Linked DNA regions of Mus musculus: regions 2 and 3 are each reported to be linked to region 1. Evidence: microRNA targets listed by miRTarBase, many of them from high-throughput screens and not tested one by one. Region 1 holds a microRNA gene; each other region holds the end of a gene's coding sequence.
What was found. The annotated mature microRNA mmu-miR-9-5p reads UCUUUGGUUAUCUAGCUGUAUGA and lies in region 1 at 3,930-3,952, opposite strand. An mRNA with a match to its seed (bases 2 to 7 or 8) in the 3' UTR can be bound and repressed. Matches are read on the target gene's strand: a 7mer-m8 pairs with bases 2 to 8, a 7mer-A1 pairs with bases 2 to 7 and ends in A, and an 8mer does both.

Region 1 (7,808 bases):
TGCACTTACATGTGAAGAACTTGGTGATACAATAGCAAAACTGCAAAGTCAATTATACTTAAAATAGACATCTCAATAAAGCGTGAACCATCAGCTTCTTTTACTCTTTCTGAACTGTTCTGTTACTCTTTTCTGTTTACAGTCAAATAAATCATGTGAACATTAGCCTGAAAGATAACTGATTGATACACGTGTGTAAAAACTCTTAGAAACTATAAAAAGAAAGTGTACAGGGCACTAGAATACACTCGTAAGCTCTTGTGTGTCTTGGGAAATATACTTCTATGGTGTTCATTTACAGTGTCTGTCCATCACCAGTCAAACTTGGAAAGAGTAGTATGCTGAAACTCAAAGCAAAATTTAAGTTGGAGTCACACTAACAGCTTCTAAGCAGAACTACAGCAATAAAAACCAATTGGAGTCCGTTTATGCTCAATCAGACTTTCAGACTGAAGTGGATATTTGTTTTTAATTTATTTTAATTACACAAGAAGCAGTTTTAGAACTTCAACATCCAAGTAATGAACTCCACTCTTCAACTAGACCTGTGTCCTGAATGTCTCATCAGCAAATTAAAATGTTTGTCTAGATAAAATAACTTCGTAATGAGTTCTCTTATTTCTTCTCATTTCTTTTTGTATTTTCTGCAATGTAACCCCTTGCAATGATATTAGTTCTAGTGTGGGAAAATATTATAATTGAGATCTGGTAAGTTATTTGCAGACTTCAAGTTTTTCTTTACACTGTGCTGACATTTAGTACAGCCCTGGTGAGGAAAACAATACAGCCATTCATAGCCCTAGACGTAGATTTCAATCGACTTAGACGGGCACAATGAAACTTGGTCATTCACTGGTTACCCATATTGTGTTCTCAAATTTTCTCTCAGCAAAAGTATAATGACTCAGTATTGTATGGTTGCATAGACAAGGGCTAGGAACAAGAGACACTAGTTTTGTCTGACGGTGTGAGAAAGTCGTGAAGGGATCTTTTCTTCCAGATGGTGTTAAATTCAGCTGCCTTTTTAACATTGGCCTTGCACAGCAATCTGCTGCTCTCCTTTCACAAAGCCTGCCTTGGTTCCCACTAGTTAACATGCATACTCACGCAACCTGCAACTTCACTCCAACTGGTTTACAATGCAGTGGTATGCTAAATAAACTTGATCCGGTTTCTGCCAATGTTAAAACTAGCTTTCAAAGAACTACTTAACTGATAGTTACACTGCTTTTGACTTCAATGTGCGTGCCTTCGGAATATTTCAAATTTTAAAGAAATATCACCTTATGATAAGGTCACTGTAGAGATTATCTTGGACACCATTAGACTCATGCTTAGATATGGTACCTCCTTCAACACACACAAATAAAACAAAATGTCAGAAGTTTGATGTGTAATAGAAAAAAAGAAAATCTGGGACATGTTGCAGCAGGAGCAGTGGGACAGCAAAAAGTAAAATGAAAATAACATTGAAATGTATTTTTATTGATCGATAAGTTATGTAACATTAGTATGATACAAAGCAAGTTGGATATGACAATGGCAAACACATAATTTTAATATTGTTTATTTTCCTTAGATGTTATAGTTAACATATTTACATAAACGACCCAAGATGTAGGCAAAAACTTCAGTAATGTGACTCCATTGAGAGCTTTGAGTAAACAATAGGTTTCCCCAGCAAACATCTTATTGCCTTAATTGAACCTCCTTGAGAAAGAAAAGCACACACTTTGTAATGTAAATGTTAATTGTAGTAGACAATGGTTCTAGGTAAATAGCACCCCTGGACATGAAGCAAATGAAAGGAATACAGGCACTTAACAATGAAAGCTTGTTTGCACAAACAGTGCTTCCAAGGTAAATAAGCAAGGGTCTTCTCGACTGCCTCTACAGCAGTCAAACTTTGGCACGTGTACAGCGGCCAAACTGAGAAGTTGTGTTATTAAAGTCTCTTGGCTTTTCTAAATGAAACTACCAGTGGCTTTACAGGTTTCTCTGGTGTCAATCTTACAAGAAGTTGAAGCTATAAAGAAAAATGTACTGTCCCTGAAGAAAACTTATGCATTTGGGAGTGTCAGTAATTTAGGCCATATGAAAGAAAAGAAGCAATTTTGGAATTTTTTTTCTCATTGCAATGCTTGTATTTATGTGCAAATGCCTATACAAATGTTTGCCTGATAAAATGTAACAGGATGCAAGGAACTTCAAAAAAGGACTACAGTGGTTTCTCCAAAGCCTCAAAGTTTATGCTGGGACTAGTGACTTTTAGATGAAGAGGGAAGAGGAGGAAGAAAAGGAAGAGGAGGGGGAAAAGGGAAAAAAAAAGCTCATCCGCTAGGACAATTCTAAAACAAAACAAGTTCTCTAACATATTGTGATTGTAATCAACTTTCTACAGACTGATGACTTTATAGCTTTATTTCCAGAATGTAGATTAGCATAAGTAGGCCAAGTTCCTGTGTGTCACACAAGGAAGTAAACAACCCGATGAAGTAAGTCATAATAATGAATGCTATGAGACATGACTTTAAAATATAACACAGCCAAAACAAAAGCCAAAGGTGGTCACAAGGCCCTAACCACATACTGAGGACTTCTCTGAGAAGGGCATGCAGTTCTGGGGCACTCTTGGCACCCTTTCCACTTGTTTTCCTTAAATGGTGAAAATTTCAACCAAAGGAGAAATCCAAATTTAATCATGGCCAGATTAAACAGAGGTTTAAAAATGAACAGAGACAGTACATAGCAGCTACCAACCAGTTGGTGTTGCCATTTGGGAGGCTGCAGATGGCTGTGGGTGGGAAATGCCTTTACTTTCTTAAGCGATGGAGATGAGTATGGTGTGTGTGTGCTTGATGTTTTTTTCATACCCCTACCCCCCAACAGGGCTGTCTGTCATAGGCTGCCGGCCAGGCTTTACCACTTGCCCCCGAGCGTGGGAATCGGAGCGTCCTGCCGTTCACATCTCCTGCTTTCCGTTTAGCGGAATCAATTAGGCAAGACAGACCCTCAGATTCCCCACCCCCTTTCCATTTTTGTCAGGTCTATATACGTCCTAATTATTTCAGTTTGGGATGCCAGAGCTGTTTCCTGGATAGACCTGATCATCCTTAAACAAAAAGAGAGGAGGCGCACACGTGGGTTGTGGCGTAAATGTCACTTTCATTTCCAATGCTAGGCGCAGAGTAAGACAGAACATTTTTTTAACACTTTGACAAGAGGGGAGGCGATCTCGTCTCCATCATGTCTTTCTGCTTCAGTAGCTTCCTCAAGGAAACCCTCTTGGAACAGAGAAGCATCTGTCCTTGTATTTTGAATAGAAGAATAAAAATCAGCCTTTGCCCCCACCCCTTTTCCCTGCTAGCTCTAAGTCTTCGGTAGATATAAATTATTAACCTTCCAGTATAAGCTTTACTGAAAGTCTAACTTCACAGAATTTGATGTACACACCCAAATACATAGAAAGTTTCCAGGCACAAGCTTCAAACTTGGGGGAGGGGCCTCAGATAGGAACAGCCCAAATCTACATAATTATGAAATCATTTTTAAGCGAGGTACCAGACATCACTATAACAGCTTTCTAAGAAAAAAAAAGAAAAAAAAAACCTCATATGTAAACGTTTGCTTCAAAATGAACAATATAGAAAATACATGCATCGTCACCCGTAAAAAACACTACACAATTCTCCTCTCCAGTTGTACAAGCCCCTCAAAGCCTGGCCCCTTTAGATTTCAATATGCGTGTCACTTAATTTTCTTGCATCCCACTTTCAATCATAAGATAAAAAAAGTTAGATTCAATAAGCATTCCTGACCTTTCTGGTTTTTACTGTCTCTTGGTTGCAGTCTTTCTTTCCGGAACGTTCCTCGGTGACCTTGAAGGAGTTTTTACTTTCGGTTATCTAGCTTTATGAAGACCAATACACTCATACAGCTAGATAACCAAAGATAACAACTCGCTTCCCTCACAAGGCTGCCTTCCTCTGGCTGAACTCCAGATCTCGATCCTCTTTGGCTTTAGGGAAGCGTAGTCCTCCGGGGTACTTGCCGCGTTTAAGCTTCTCCTTTCATGTAAACATGACCTGGTTTCTGTCTTAGTGTGTGCGGCTAGAACATCCAAATGAGATCTGTTGCATTCAGAGTTTATTCCAAACTTTTCCCCTTCCAGCAAGTAATCTCCAGTATCGTTAGCCAACAATTCATCTATGAGTATCAGAAATTAAGACCAGAGACTAAGGTGCAGCAAGCTGTTGGGGGTGAGCAGCAGTGTCCTTCTCTTCACAGGCCTCTATTTGCATTGTAAATTGCTTCATTCTCACGGAAGATTCTTTAGCCTTCCTCTACTGAGATGTATAAAGCCATCGGCAGTTTCCAACGCTGGTTAAAGAGGAAGAAGGGGGAAATCCCATTCTATAGAAGTGACAGCTGATTCAAAGATCTGCTCCGGATCATTGGGTTAGGCATCATGATCTTTTTTACCAAGTGCAGGCAGCTTGATTGCACATATCTTGTATGTGAATGTTTTAAGGGAGATCCTCGATTTCTTAGGACTTCTAGGCGGGCAGAGCATGCCCTCTTGCTGGCGTACTGCTGCCCCGGTCTGAAAGAAGGAGAAAAGGGCCATCATTGGAGGGGCTTTCACCGCCAAATTGTGGACCAGCCCGGCAAGGTCAAAGGTTTGAGACTGCGGGAGACCAAGGTAATGATGATGTCATGAGAAATCTCAAGTACATGGTTATTGATATGCATCAGTGGTCACCCAACTGCCCCACGCCTGCTGCCAGGAGTAGCACAGGCGACGGCGGCGGCGACGGCGGCAGCGGTGGCGGCGACGGCAGCAGCAGCTTTGCAGCAGTCCCTATATTCTCAATCAACATTTCATCCACTAGCACTACGGACTGCTCCTTGAAAAGCAACCCGCGGCCTTTTACCTCCTTGGCGCTAGTGTAGATCGCTCTAATATCCAAAGAATGGAGAAAATCTCTCTCTAAGGATAGATAAAAGCATTTCAGGTCTGGGGAACTTCTTTGCCTGCATTTCTCTTCTGGCAGATTGCATAGGCAGGCAGATGGAAGGCACTTTACTATTGCTTAAAGCAGGGCCTCGCTTTCTGGGGCTGGGAATCAGCTCTGTTTTTACGCAGTGAGTCGATGGTTACAATGACAATTTGCTTTGGTGTTATGTTTTTAATGGCTTTACAGCTCAGTCATGTTTTCTATCTGTGTACCGTGGCGATAGGGCAGCATATTTGTTCTGTAAGTTCGAACTGCACGATCTAAACAGTGGGGCTTCTTTTTTAAAAATGCTTTGCATATAGAGTGTGTGTGGGGGTTAGCATGCTGCACAGGTAAACATTGCAGCAATAGTTTCAATGTTGTACACAACTCTGCTGTAGCAAAAATGCTGAGCCTTTGTCTACTGTTTTAACATAAATTTCACACTGGACAATAATGCACTAGACTTGCTTATAAAATTAAAATAAAAGTCTTGTCTCCTGAACATGTAGATCCAACACCTGGATGGGGAGGGAGGGAAGCTACCACACCTCCCTGGCCCCACCCACTCATATCCTTCTATCGAGAAGCAGAAGGTCATTTCATTAATTAATTAGCTTCATTCATTGTCTTAGGAGTTTTTAAAGTGTGACTTTAAAATCACTTCAAAGAATCCTTTTCTTTCTCATCCTTTATAATAGATAATCTGTCTAGCACATCTAATATCTAACATTCAAATCCCTCTCAACAAAATATTCATGGTAATCTACATAAGAAGCATGTTCTCTGTGGGTAAACATTATGGATTATTGTTCAAATTACTAATTATTTTTTAGTAATGTTGCTTTTCTTTAAGTTACATGCTAAAGGAGAATTAGTAATTCTAAATGTACATTGCACACATCACCTGTGCCTCACAATGCTCTCAATTCCATAATGTGTCTATTTTCCCCAGTGGCTAAAATACTTTTGGATTTATTAATTTTTTTGGAATAAAATTTTTCTCAGTAATTCACTAATTTATTCATTTAACACATAAATAAGAACCTGGTTATTTAATCACATACAGAGCCCTAAAATCTAAACTCTGTAAAGAAGAGACTGACAAGTTTTTTTTGTTTGTTTGTTTGGTTTGTGTTTTAATGATAGGAAACATCTCCAATGAAGAGTTTAAACATATCACACCAATTAAGATATGGCTTACAGCTTAGTAACAGAGATGCCAATTTGTCCTTATATTAATTTGTTTACTTTTATGGTAAGCATTCTGTAACTGGCTATTGAGAAAAGACTAAGATGTGGAAAGAGTTCGTCTATATTTCTCTTCAAATTATGAACGAGAAGTCAGAAATAAAATACACACGGACACTACAATCCAATCCTAAAGGCATGTTCATAGAGTTTTTGTTCATTCCTAAACCATATGGTCACAGCATAAACAACTCAGTGAAGCGCATGCCACTTCTGACATCATGTAAAAATCCTAATGAGCTTTGCAGCTTGGAAGATTAAAGAGCACCGTGGCCTTGCTTTCCAAGAACTAGCAGCAGAGTAATTAATGATTTGGCTTGTATTACATAAAATAAGCACGTGATCAGATATAGTCAACTGTGTAAGCCAAAGCCCAAGAAATCAAAAATGGTCTTATAGAATCTCTTTTCTTCACATGTATCTAGGTGTGCTAGCTACATATATATATCTATGTGTTGGGAGGGTGTTATTTATTCACATATTTTCTGAATTTGAAAGTTATTATGACTCTATTCCCATACCTAACAATAAAATGTGTTTTTAGAAACAATATCTACAATGAGTTAACACACTGCATATCTGAACGCTTCTCCCACTAGAATCTGAATAAGATGCTGTAATAAATACCACATTCTTAGGGCAACACTAGTCATGCCAACTTACTACAAGGCCGGTCTCCACGCTTGGTATTCATCATGGGAACTCCAATGAGTGAAATGAGCCAAGATCAGGATTATGGGTAGTCTGTTCATTAGCAATGTAGTCAATTAAATATTTTAACTCTCTATCAACCTCACAGGCACACAGAAGAAATTAAATATACTAAGATTTAACATCGAGTGCCCCCTTATTTATAAGATTGCCAAGGTTTATAAAATGGTTTATTGTATGTATTATATATACCCCACAATACGTTACAATTACATATCTTCAAAGACTCCTAGCGATGTCACCTGTGAAGAGCAGCTCTTAGCAACTACACTTTAAACTTAATTTTTTTTTTGCTTTTAAAAGATTATCTAGCTGAGCTACAGAATATCTACTTGAAAATCAGCATAGAGAAGGATATACTGAATTCAAGCAGCCTGAATTCAAGCACTAAATTCTCACTACTATCTAGTAGATTAGAGTATGGTTGTTGTGCTTGCTTGCAGATAGTTTGTAGGTCTCCAAATTGCTGAAACATGACTTGAAACATCCTAGTTTATTTGGGGATAAAACAATCTCTCCTGATTTACAGTAAAAAGTTATGGTTTTCCTCATATTTGGGCCAGAAATATGCTATTTAATTAATTCATATACACTTGGTTTATGATCAATATTTGGAACGTCTTTGAATCCTATACACATGAATGCAGAATGCATAAGGAACTGGCCCAACACCAAATCATTTTAAATATTTCATTTATAAGAATTACAAATGTGCAAATTGTAGTCTACAGTCAATACTACTATTGTCTTATTTTTTAAGCCATTTTATTTACATTAGTGTCCATGGTCCAAGTGATGAAGTGAACTGGCTTTCATTATAATAAAAGTATCTTACCCTTTCCTCTAAAT
Region 2 (5,036 bases), not on the chromosome of region 1:
TTCACAACCATCTGTAACGGGATCTGATGCACTCTCCTGCTGTGTATCTGAAGATAGTTACAGTGTGCTTGTATAAAGAAAAATAAATAAATTAATAAAAATACATATTTCTTAAAAAAAAAAAAAGAAAAGCTAATTAGTCCTATGGCTGAGAGGTGTGATCTTGGCTGGGCTCCGGTGGGCTCGTGCATGTAGGTAATGTCTAAAACATTCCCATGTTGTAGAACCACAGACCCCAGTTGCTGTTTATCATCAATGTAGACGGATGTTTATCTGGTCCCTTAGGGATCATAGGGCTCTGGAGCTGGGGCTACAGAATTTCTGATTCTGTAAGCACCTGCATTTCTGATGCTCCATGACTCGCTGTTGCTGCTGCTGCTGACGGTGTAACTCTGTTGTGTTGCAGGAAGCCCACGCCATCCACCTTGAAGGCAGGGGAGCTGCGAACACACGTCAGCCGCTGCCAAGTGTGCATGAGAAGAACATAACTATGATGCTCGCCTCTGCCACCGTCACAACATGGTGCTACTCCCCCCCCTTGTCCTCTTCTCCCTCCCATTGTATTTGTAACAGCAATGAACCCTAGAATTATATCCTGTGTACCTCACTGTCCACTATGAAAACCATAAAGTGCCTTATAGGGATTCGCGTAACTAACACACCCCGCTTCGTTGGCCTCTGTTTGCTGAAGGAGAAGGACAGGCAGCGGAGAGCTTTCCATAATGGCACATACCAAATGGCGCTCCTGATCCAATAAAAGATGAATTGCATTTTGCAATCCAGTGCACTGATGTCTGGGGCGAGAACTCCATAAGAAACCCAAAGGTGCTAGGGGCGTGAGGCGCTCTCCACACAGCCCACAGCCCGCTTCATCCTGTCACCCCAGATGTGAGTGCTGTCCAACCCACTGTCCAGTGTTTCCACATCAGGTCCCTCGAGGGGCTATGCAGAGAACAGTCAAGGGAACTGGTTTCTTCCACTTTCTACATGGAACTCCATCGTTTCAGCCCCAAACACAAACTTATGCCCTGTGTGGTACTATGCAGCTGCTTTTGTGGAAGTCATGGCTTTCCTGTGGAATAAAGATGGTCCAAAGGTTAGATGGAAAATAAATAAATAAGTAAATAAATATATATATATATTAGTAATTTATATAGGTGTCAGCAATTAGGCAGGTCAAGTTCTAGCGTAGAGCCTGTTGTTAAATAAAGCGCACTTGGTTTTCGTCTCTGGAGAAACTGTACTATCCTTTCACAGGGTTACCAACATCAGGCCACTGAATGTGAAACACCAGCTTTCCTCAAACTCACTCCTAAACCAGAGGAGGTGTATAGATAGCCAAAGCCAAACCCATTCCTAAACATGGTGTCTGATAATGAGCCCTGTGCCTGGCGCTTCTTGCTTCTGCTCTGCGTGGAGTATTTTCAGGGTTTGCAACACTAACCACAGACTGAATGACTGACTTCCCGTACGACAGCCAAGGCCTTTGTTAGCCTCCTTCATCCTGCATCCTGGCAGGCATTTCACACCTGAGCACACACAGGCAACTTCCCAGCTCCTCTCGAGCTGTGACACAGCCCCTGCAGGGAGTGGACAGGTCGCAGGAGGGCAGACTCGGACCACTATGCTTGAAGTGACATTTCACTAAAAGTACCCACCCTCCAAAAAAAAAAAAAAAAGTTTTTAAGACTACTAAGGCCTTCTGTGTAATTTCTTTAAATGTGTATTTCTTAAGAATTCAAATTTGTAATAAAACTATTTGTATAAAAATGAAGCTTTTATGGATTTGTTGCTAGAAATGAAACGTTGAAAGAGAAGTTACCACACGTACCACTAATAAACCTGTAAGCTTTGCTGCATACCTTAGATCATTTTTATTTTGTATGTGTTCAAACAAGAGTCCTAGACTGGGGGTAACTTAGGGCGACTAACTACAAAGGAAGAGAACCCTGCCATACTTTCACTGCATTGTCAGCCCAGGCATTCCTTAGTCACCAGGCCAGCAGAGTGACATTGAAATTGGATCTGTCAGGCCTTAGCCCATTTCTGCAGCAGAGAGGACAAGGGCATGGGGCTGCATTCAGACTCAACTGAGATACTCAGCTCAGATGTGTGCTGGAGAGGTGGCTCAGTCAGAGAGTGTACATTTGGATTTCCAGGATGCACGGAAAAAGTCAAGTGCGGTGGCCCATGCCAGTGGCTGTGGCAATGGGGGCCTGGGCAGGGAGGGCTGAGACACTCAGATCCCTGGCCCTTGCTTACCAGCCTGTCTGGCTGAGTTGGGGAGTTCCAGGTTCAATGACAGTTTCCCAGAAAATAAGAGTGATTCAGGAAGACCCTGAACATTGACTTCATGTTGTACACACGAACCTGTCTCCATGCATGCACATAAAAGATGGTATACACAAACATACACATACATGTACAAAAAGAAGATATTGTCTGTGTGTGTGTGTGTGGGGGGGGAGATTTAAGCTTTGGTAATTTTGTTTGTTATTCGAGACATTGTCTTACTACATAAACCAACCAGCTGGCTGGTCTGGAATTCTCTGTGTAGATCAGGCTGACTTCAGACTGGTAGAGACCCACCTACCACCTCTGCCTCCCAGGGCTTGGATTAAAGGTGTGTGTCACCACACCCAGCAAGCTTCAGTTTTAAACTCGGTTGAAATACAGTCCATGTGGGATGGATATGTTTTTCAGTTTTCATGAAAAGTCTAACTGTTGACATGTCCTTGGCGAATTCAACCCAGCACAGCCACAGTGAGGATGAATCAGGGTAATGTATGAGCGAGCGAGCGACCTTTATGCGCAAGGAAGAAGCAAGAGCATGAGGGAACATTGTGTGAGATAACACAGGAGATCCCGCTGTGGACGCTACGCACGGTGCCCTGAATGCTCACATTACTAGGCCAAGGTCACAGAGGGAGGTCTGATTTTGGTCCTCTGCTCACTTTTGACGTAACTGATAGACAGCACTCTTTGTGCTTTCCTCTGTCTGTGAGAATGGAGAAGACAAATAATAGGATTCATGGGACCATAACCAAAACCCTCTGCAGTTATGTCACCCCCCCCCAATCCAGGTTCTTACAGCGCCGTGGCGTTCTCAGTCTCTCCCCCTCCTCCCTCTACTCTCAGAAGTGAAACAATCTTGGACATGTTTGTCAAAAATCAGCTGCATCTAGATGTGTGGGACATACAAGCAGTTTAGTTTTTAAAAGATTAGGTGTGCCTTTAACACATGATTACGTTACATGTGGGTATCTGTTCTCAGATACCTTGAGAGAGAGGTCATTGTTTCTTTTCTCTTCTTTTCTTTTCTTTCTTTCTTTCTTTCTTTCTTTCTTTCTTTCTTTCTTTCTTTCTTTCTTTCTTTCTTCCTTCCTTCCTTCCTTCCTTCCTCTCTCTCTCTCTCTCTCTCTCTCTCTCTCTCTCTCTCTTTCTTTTTAGACTTATTTATTAATTTATTTTATATCTAAGTACACTAAAGCTGTCTTCAGACACACCAGAAGGGGGCATCAGATCTTATTACAGGTGGTTGTGAGCCACCATGTGGTTGTTGGGATTTGAACTCAGGACCTTTGGAAGAGCAGTCCGTGCTCCTAACCACTGAGCCATCTCTTTAGCCCGAGGTCATGTTTCTTTACTGAGTTCATTTTGTATCTGTAATTTAATTGGCTCTAAGTGTGAGCTTATCTTAGGGATTCCCTAGTTTCACCCACCTACCAGTGGCTCCACTTTCCATACCAAGCTGTCTTGATTTAGCTTAAAAGTAACCTTTTTAAAAAAAATGTATGTATATGAGTGTTCTGTTTGCATGTCTGTACATTGGTCGTGTGTCTATGCAGATAGACAGTTTTTACATTTCCACGATAAAGTCCACTCAGTCACAGTGTGTTATTCTTTTTATGCATCAAACATTTTGGTTGCTATTTTAAAACTACTTTTTTTGTGTGAATTTCACACCATGTACCTCAGTCCCATTCATCTCCCTGTTCCCTGGTACCCACCCTTCACCCTTGCAACCTCCCTGCCAAAAGAAAAAAGATCTTGTGGAAATCTTAGTGTGTCACACAGTATGTCCTTTTGTCTACACTTTGCTTGCAAATGTTCACTTCCTTGAGTCTGGTCTGAGGCTTCTGGATTCTGCGACTCTATCAATACTGGAACCCTCTGAGACTCCTCTTGGAGTCCTGTTGTTGCCCTGTGTCATGGAGATCCTATAGTTTTGGATCTGTAGGACTGCCCCTTCATAAACTCCAGCAGTTCATCTGTGGGGTAGATGCTGGGGTGGGCTGATTTAAAGTCCTGGATCTGGGCCTGGGAGGTAGCTGAGTTGGCCAGCCTGCAAGCTCTCCATCTCTGCCCCTGCTAGGTCATCCAATGGCAGCAAGGGGCAGAACCAGCTCTCTGCTTTCATGCCCTCAGGGACTGCTCATCCACGCCCACACCATCAGGGCCAGCTCTACTGTCCTGCCCAGGTGAGGTGATGAGCCTGCTTTCCTAAGTGTGGCAGCTGTGTGAGGAATGAGGCCAGCTCTCTCACCTGGCATAGGTGGCAAAGGATGAGGTGGGGGGCCTTTCTGCCTCATGTTCACCTCTGTACAGCAGACATGTTGTGGGCCCAGCTCTCCTACACTGAAACCCTCAGGGCCAGCTCGCCAGTGCCCCTGCCACCAGGATCAGCTCTATTGTGACCCAAGCAAGGTGCAGGGCCCATTCTCCCGATTGCTGCAGCCGGTGACAGGCAGGGACAGCTCTCCTGATCTCATGCCCCAGGGACAGCTCATGATGCCCTAACAAGGGGTGGGGGCTGATTCTGCACAGTCCCCAGACATCAAGATGGCCCCAGGTAGTGGCTCAGACCAGAGACATCAGACTGGCCTTTGGTGGTTGCAGACTCCTGCTGCTGCAGGGCCATGGACCGACCCCAGACATGGCTCTTGATGGCAGCACAGGCCAGAACCGCCACCATGGTGGCGTCACCAGCTACTCACATCAGGCTGTTCCTCACTCACTCAAGTCTCCAATTCTGC
Region 3 (5,036 bases), not on the chromosome of region 1:
AAAAGTATGGACCGTTAGGGAACCAGTGTATCCTAACCCTTCCCTGTGGTGTACTGTATAATGAAATAGCTTTATGCTCTTCACAGAGTAGGGGTGGGTAGAAAAGTTTTACTTCTCTGTACTTGTTCTCTTTAAATGTGTTTCCTATGTTGATGGAAGAAGTGGCTGGTATCCTTTCAAATATGACTGTGTGGCTGTCCGCCTCGAGGCAGCAGAGCCTGTCTAAGCAAGTGTGGACAATGCTCACTGTTTTTCATGGCCCAGAGATCAGAACATAGTCGTGCTTCTATTTTAAACTCTGAAAGGGATCAGGTCTTCTTAACCGTGGGAAGAGTGCCCACTTCAAGTTAGGCCTTCAACTAATGGATTTGGGGAGCTTAAGAAGGTTGGCTGCTTAAGCTCTTAGGACCACTGGGTCTTTAACCTGACATGCCCTCTCCCCCAGGCAAGTTCACTGAGGAGTACACAATGTTCTTTATTCCATGTAACAAATACGCCACGGCTAAAATCACAAGGTCGCATCCCCACAGATGTTCAGAGTTTAAAATGATTTACGAGTGTTTTGACCACATGTATGTATGTGCACCATGTGCACGCCTGGTGCCTGCAGAAGTCAGAGGGTGTTGGATCTCCAGATACTGGAGCTGCAGATGGTTGTGGGTCACCATGTGTGTGCTGAGGACCCAGGTCATCTACAAGAGCAACAAGTGGTCTTAACCTCAGAGCCATCTCTCCAGCACCCCCACCCCATTCATATAACATTCATAAATGTTACGAAGCATTTCAAATGATCTTCTGACCCTGGGGTAGGAGCATGTCTTGGCAATCTGGAGGCTGTGGAAACACTGGGCAGCAACCTACACGGGGCACACTGGAAGGAGTTCAAAATCTGCTGCTCTGCTCCTTCTAGAGGGAATGATGGCAGACAGAACCAGATTCCCTGCCTCATCTGCTGGGCCTCCTGAGCATAAGGATTTGGGATCCATTATGATGTTATTAGAGTCATAGGTTAGAGCTCTCAAGAGGGAACAAGTGTGTGTAGGGCTTTCTCCAGACGTGGCACTTACTCATTTTTAAGGTACCAAGGAGAAAACAAGCAGCTGTCTTTGTATTCCCTGCGACCTTGATTGTCAGCCTTGGGAATTTAGCTAGCTCCAACTCTGGGGGAGGGAAGGGCCCCGTTACAAGCTCAACTAGAGATCACGCAGGTACTGCTTGCCAATGTCCATGGACTTTAAGCACACGTCGTAAACAGTATACATTTTAAAGTTCCAAAGCTCTGGGAAATTCTCACAGTCAAACTCCTGAGGTGCTCTTTCCATTTAGAAATGTGTGCAGACATGTTGGGGCAAAGACTTCCTAGTTCACATAGCACAGTGCCTCTTGTCAACATTTGCTTTCGGTCAGTTGATCATTCTTCACAACCACACAGATGGCAAGCAGAGCTGGGATGTAGATCTTCCTCCTCAAAGCCCATGACCCGTGAGGTTTAATGACCGGCGTATTTATGTCGGCAGTTAATCACTGAGGCAATAAATGACTTCTGGCTTTGCAGGGCATCTCAGAGTCCTGACCCTGCCTCCTGCTATCATGACTGGTACTTCCTTTGAGGCCTGGGGATCTCATATAAGTAACTTTCTCTAAAATACATATTTTTTTTCCTTGGCTGTTCCTCCCATCATAAATGTTTCTGAATAGATAACAAACCAGATGAAATTTGAGCATTAGAAGCCTTTTGCTTTAAACTTTAGTGTGATGTTCAGCCAAGAGCAACAGCTGTTGTGCCAAGGAGACCAAGTTCAACTCAGCTTTCTTGAGGAAGTTTTATAGACAAACTGGCATGATCACTTGGAAAAGTCTCCCCATGAGAACCAAGGAGGTGTGTAGAACTCTGATTCTTCTCAATGTTATGTAGGCCCATGGTGTGTATGAGTGCAGGCATGCACACGCCAGTGTGTGAGACCACACACAGCTGTGTGGACTCTGTAGGTTGGACTCTGGTCACCTTGAGTGCCTAGCAAGCCACTCTTGACCTGCTGACAATCCTTCCTTTAATGGCTTTTCCCCCTTCTGCACTTTCTAAATTTTTACAAACTTCTGGGGAAAAAATTGTTTGCTTTTTTTTTCTGGCAAGAATGAGATTGGAAAACAGCAGAGATTATTTCCGTGTAATGTCTCTTGTGTCATTTCTGTATAAAGAACACTTTTAGTTATTTATTTATAGAAGACTCACAGAATTAGAGATTTCCCAAGGCCTCGAACTGTGGGTGTTCCGTCTTTGGTGACTGAGGTGGTAGACAGGCTTACTCAAACACAGCCCTCGCTGAGAGTTTAAACGTTTATTTAAAACAGAAATGCCACACCACTCCATCCTCATCCTTCCCAGCTTCAGGCTAACAATAAGCTGGCTCTTCAGCCAAGTGTTGGCACAGAGGATAAACGCAGGCTATACTGTAACTCAAAGCAACACTACCGGCAAGCTTCAAACACAGAGCACTGCATAGAGGATAAACAGGACAATTTACGAAGATTTAGCTATAGAAAACCGTTTGAAGACATTTCTGCTGTCTTGACTGTTACTCAACCCAGTGCATGGTTGTGACTTTTGAACTGGTTTTTGTTTGCATAGCTGTTTGGTAGGGGAGAACATCTTATGGTTGTCCTAGGCACAATTCTGGAAAGTGCAAATTGTCTCTAAGGCACAGAACTTAGATTCCCAGCTAGAGTAATAGCAAATCTAGACTTCCCGAAGGAATATACTAGAGAACCGCCGCCATGCTCTACTTGAGCACGGCTCCCTAGGATTCCTGCCTGCCTCAGCATGCACTGTCACCCCACAGTCAGCAACATGCCCACACCCCTCAGCTCCAGAGCAGAAGCAATGCTCGTACTGAACACCTTAAACCCTGCCTCTCAGGCCTGCTGAGATGGTAAGCGTAAGGATACAGGACCTTGAAAGGCCAGCCAGTCCTGACGAAAACCAAAGCTGCATTGACCAAACTGAACCAAAACTCTCTGCAGGGTTTACTGCCAGACCCCTAGAACTTGTAACCTTACGTCAGGTTTGGGCTTTCCCCTATTCTAGGAATAAGCCTCAGTGCTGAAAGCAGTACCACTGTACTGTGCTTCTCAGAACTGAGAAAACAAGGGACATCAATGATGCCACTGGACAGAGCTGCCCATCCTCAGAGGTGGGACTTCCTCCCAGCACCAGCCTCTATACCACTAGCTTAAGGAAATGGCAAAATTTCTCCTGCATAGGTAGGTCCTCCTGCAATATTAAGAGAGATAGCCAACCTTTTTTTTGGGGGGGGGGTTTGGTTAAATGAAACAATATTAATTTAGCTGTGTGTAGTACAGAGGATATGGTACTTATCAAAGGAGCTGCTGTGGCCTCAAACACAAGCAATCCATTAGACTTGGTGGAAGTGCAAGGCTCACATTTAAGGGAAACTATCAACTGCTGGCCTAGAAGGTTTCTCTTCTAGGACATACACTGTCCTTGGAGAAGGTGGCTGCTCCTCTCAACAAGAACACAGATGTGAGCTTGAAGCCAATCCCCTCCTACTCGGCAGGTTCTATCTGTCAAGCTTTTGTGACCCCAAGGATTTGGTGCTGGCTTTGGGCTTCTCAAGTACAAAGATGATACTGATTTACTGGGTATGACATGGCTCCAAAACACACCAAAGGAAAAAATACTGACTAGACAAAGACAGGGAGTGCCCAGGGCTGCTCATCCCATTCAGATGGCCACGATGCTAGAGGTACAGAGAAACCTCCAAAGGGCAGTATCACTGAGGTCCTCCCAGATAGCAAGGCAAGGCACTGTAGGAAGGGTTACCTCCCCCTTGACTTTCCCCCACAGCTCGACATACTCCCCGAGGAGGGTGTAGACATCTTGTGTCTTGGAGGGAGGCACCCCCACCCTGTACTGACTGTAGCCCCAGAGTCCGGCCGTCGTGATGAGGGCCTGCCCTTTCTCTGCTCCTCACTGAAGCTTCAAACATCCACGGTGAAAGCAACCTGAGCTTTCTCATGATCACCCAGCTGCACGAAGTAACTGAACTTCCTGAAAATAAGCTCTAGACTGACGCTACCACTAAGTTTTCTTGGACTCCAGGCTTCTGAGAGGGCATGAATACTTTCCACTCTCTGGAGGACCCTGGGCAGCCCACTCCATTTTTATATTTTCCTTCATCCATCCAGATGTGCAATGCCTGGTGCTTAAATCCCAAAGCAGCTTCCAATTAGTGATGAGAATGATAAACAGAAAATGAGCTGCTACCAGTGCAGTTAAGGTGAGTGCTGTGTCTCCTCTTCAAAGGTGGGCTCAGAAGATGAGGTACAGAGCTGCTGTTGCTATGGCAACACTGATGACAAAGCCAGGTCCACAGGACCCTTCCATTCTCCCACACAGTAAAATCACTCCTAGATCCTATCTAAAAGGCAATGCCACTCTCCAAATGAACAAGGAAAGTGCTTTTGAGCCTCCTTCTGCCCTGCACTCTGTGTCTGCAAGTGAGCAAAGCCAGGAAAGCTGCTCTCTGCACTCAGTAAGTGTGCGGTGAAGTTCTTTGGGTCCCAGTTTCCTGAGGGCTATGTGGGCTCAGGAGACTAGAGGCTGGGTCGACAAGAGTCTGTTCCGAGGAGGCACCAGGACTCCGAGTCTAAGTCAGGCTTTGGATCCATTTCCATTTCTTCCTTTGCTGTCTGGGTTCCTCTGGAGTGCATCCCCACCTGTGCAGACAAAGCAGTTCCACATTAGCTACAGTGCCTGGCCACGGCACCAGGCTGCTTTCAATAGCGTCTGACCTCTCAGGGTTTGCTGTCAGTCTACGGAAGGCTTGGCGGCACTGCCTTGGAAACAGGCTCTATCTTTACACTTAGGCAGTAGAGCAACAGCTGCTCTGGTTTGTCCAGCTCTACAGCATTTGGGGGATGTAGTATGAAAAGTGAACTGGCTGGGGGTCTCAGTGCACACTTTTGATTCCAGCACCCAGGAGGCAGAAGCATGAAGGAGGATTGTCTCCATGAGT

Region 2: miRTarBase lists Col4a1 as a target of mmu-miR-9-5p. The part of its 3' UTR that is shown has no 7-base or 8-base seed match.
Region 3: miRTarBase lists Nek9 as a target of mmu-miR-9-5p. Seed matches in the 3' UTR shown: 7mer-A1 at 4,572-4,578.

Annotation. Positions count from the first base shown.
Region 1 is chr13:83,734,965-83,742,772 of GRCm38, reverse strand. Mir9-2 (microRNA 9-2) reads right to left here and starts at 3,959; the gene lies at 3,888-3,959. C130071C03Rik (RIKEN cDNA C130071C03 gene) reads right to left here. Exons shown (of 4, transcript NR_152245.1): 4 at 1,465-4,603. Gm51268 (predicted gene, 51268) reads left to right here and starts at 3,897; the gene lies at 3,897-3,952.
Region 2 is chr8:11,195,253-11,200,288 of GRCm38, reverse strand. Col4a1 (collagen, type IV, alpha 1) reads left to right here. Exons shown (of 52, transcript NM_009931.2): 52 at 407-1,866. The coding sequence ends at 488. The region is part of intron 1 of Gm15418 (a long non-coding RNA gene); the gene reads right to left. Among named protein-coding and RNA genes, the nearest start is that of Gm15418, 10 kb to the right of the region's middle.
Region 3 is chr12:85,297,190-85,302,225 of GRCm38, forward strand. It overlaps Nek9 (NIMA (never in mitosis gene a)-related expressed kinase 9), which reads right to left. Exons shown (of 22, transcript NM_145138.2): 22 at 2,325-4,737. The coding sequence ends at 4,615. It overlaps Zc2hc1c (zinc finger, C2HC-type containing 1C), which reads left to right. Exons shown (of 3, transcript NM_172414.4): 3 at 1-2,169. Among named protein-coding and RNA genes, the nearest start is that of Zc2hc1c, 11 kb to the left of the region's middle.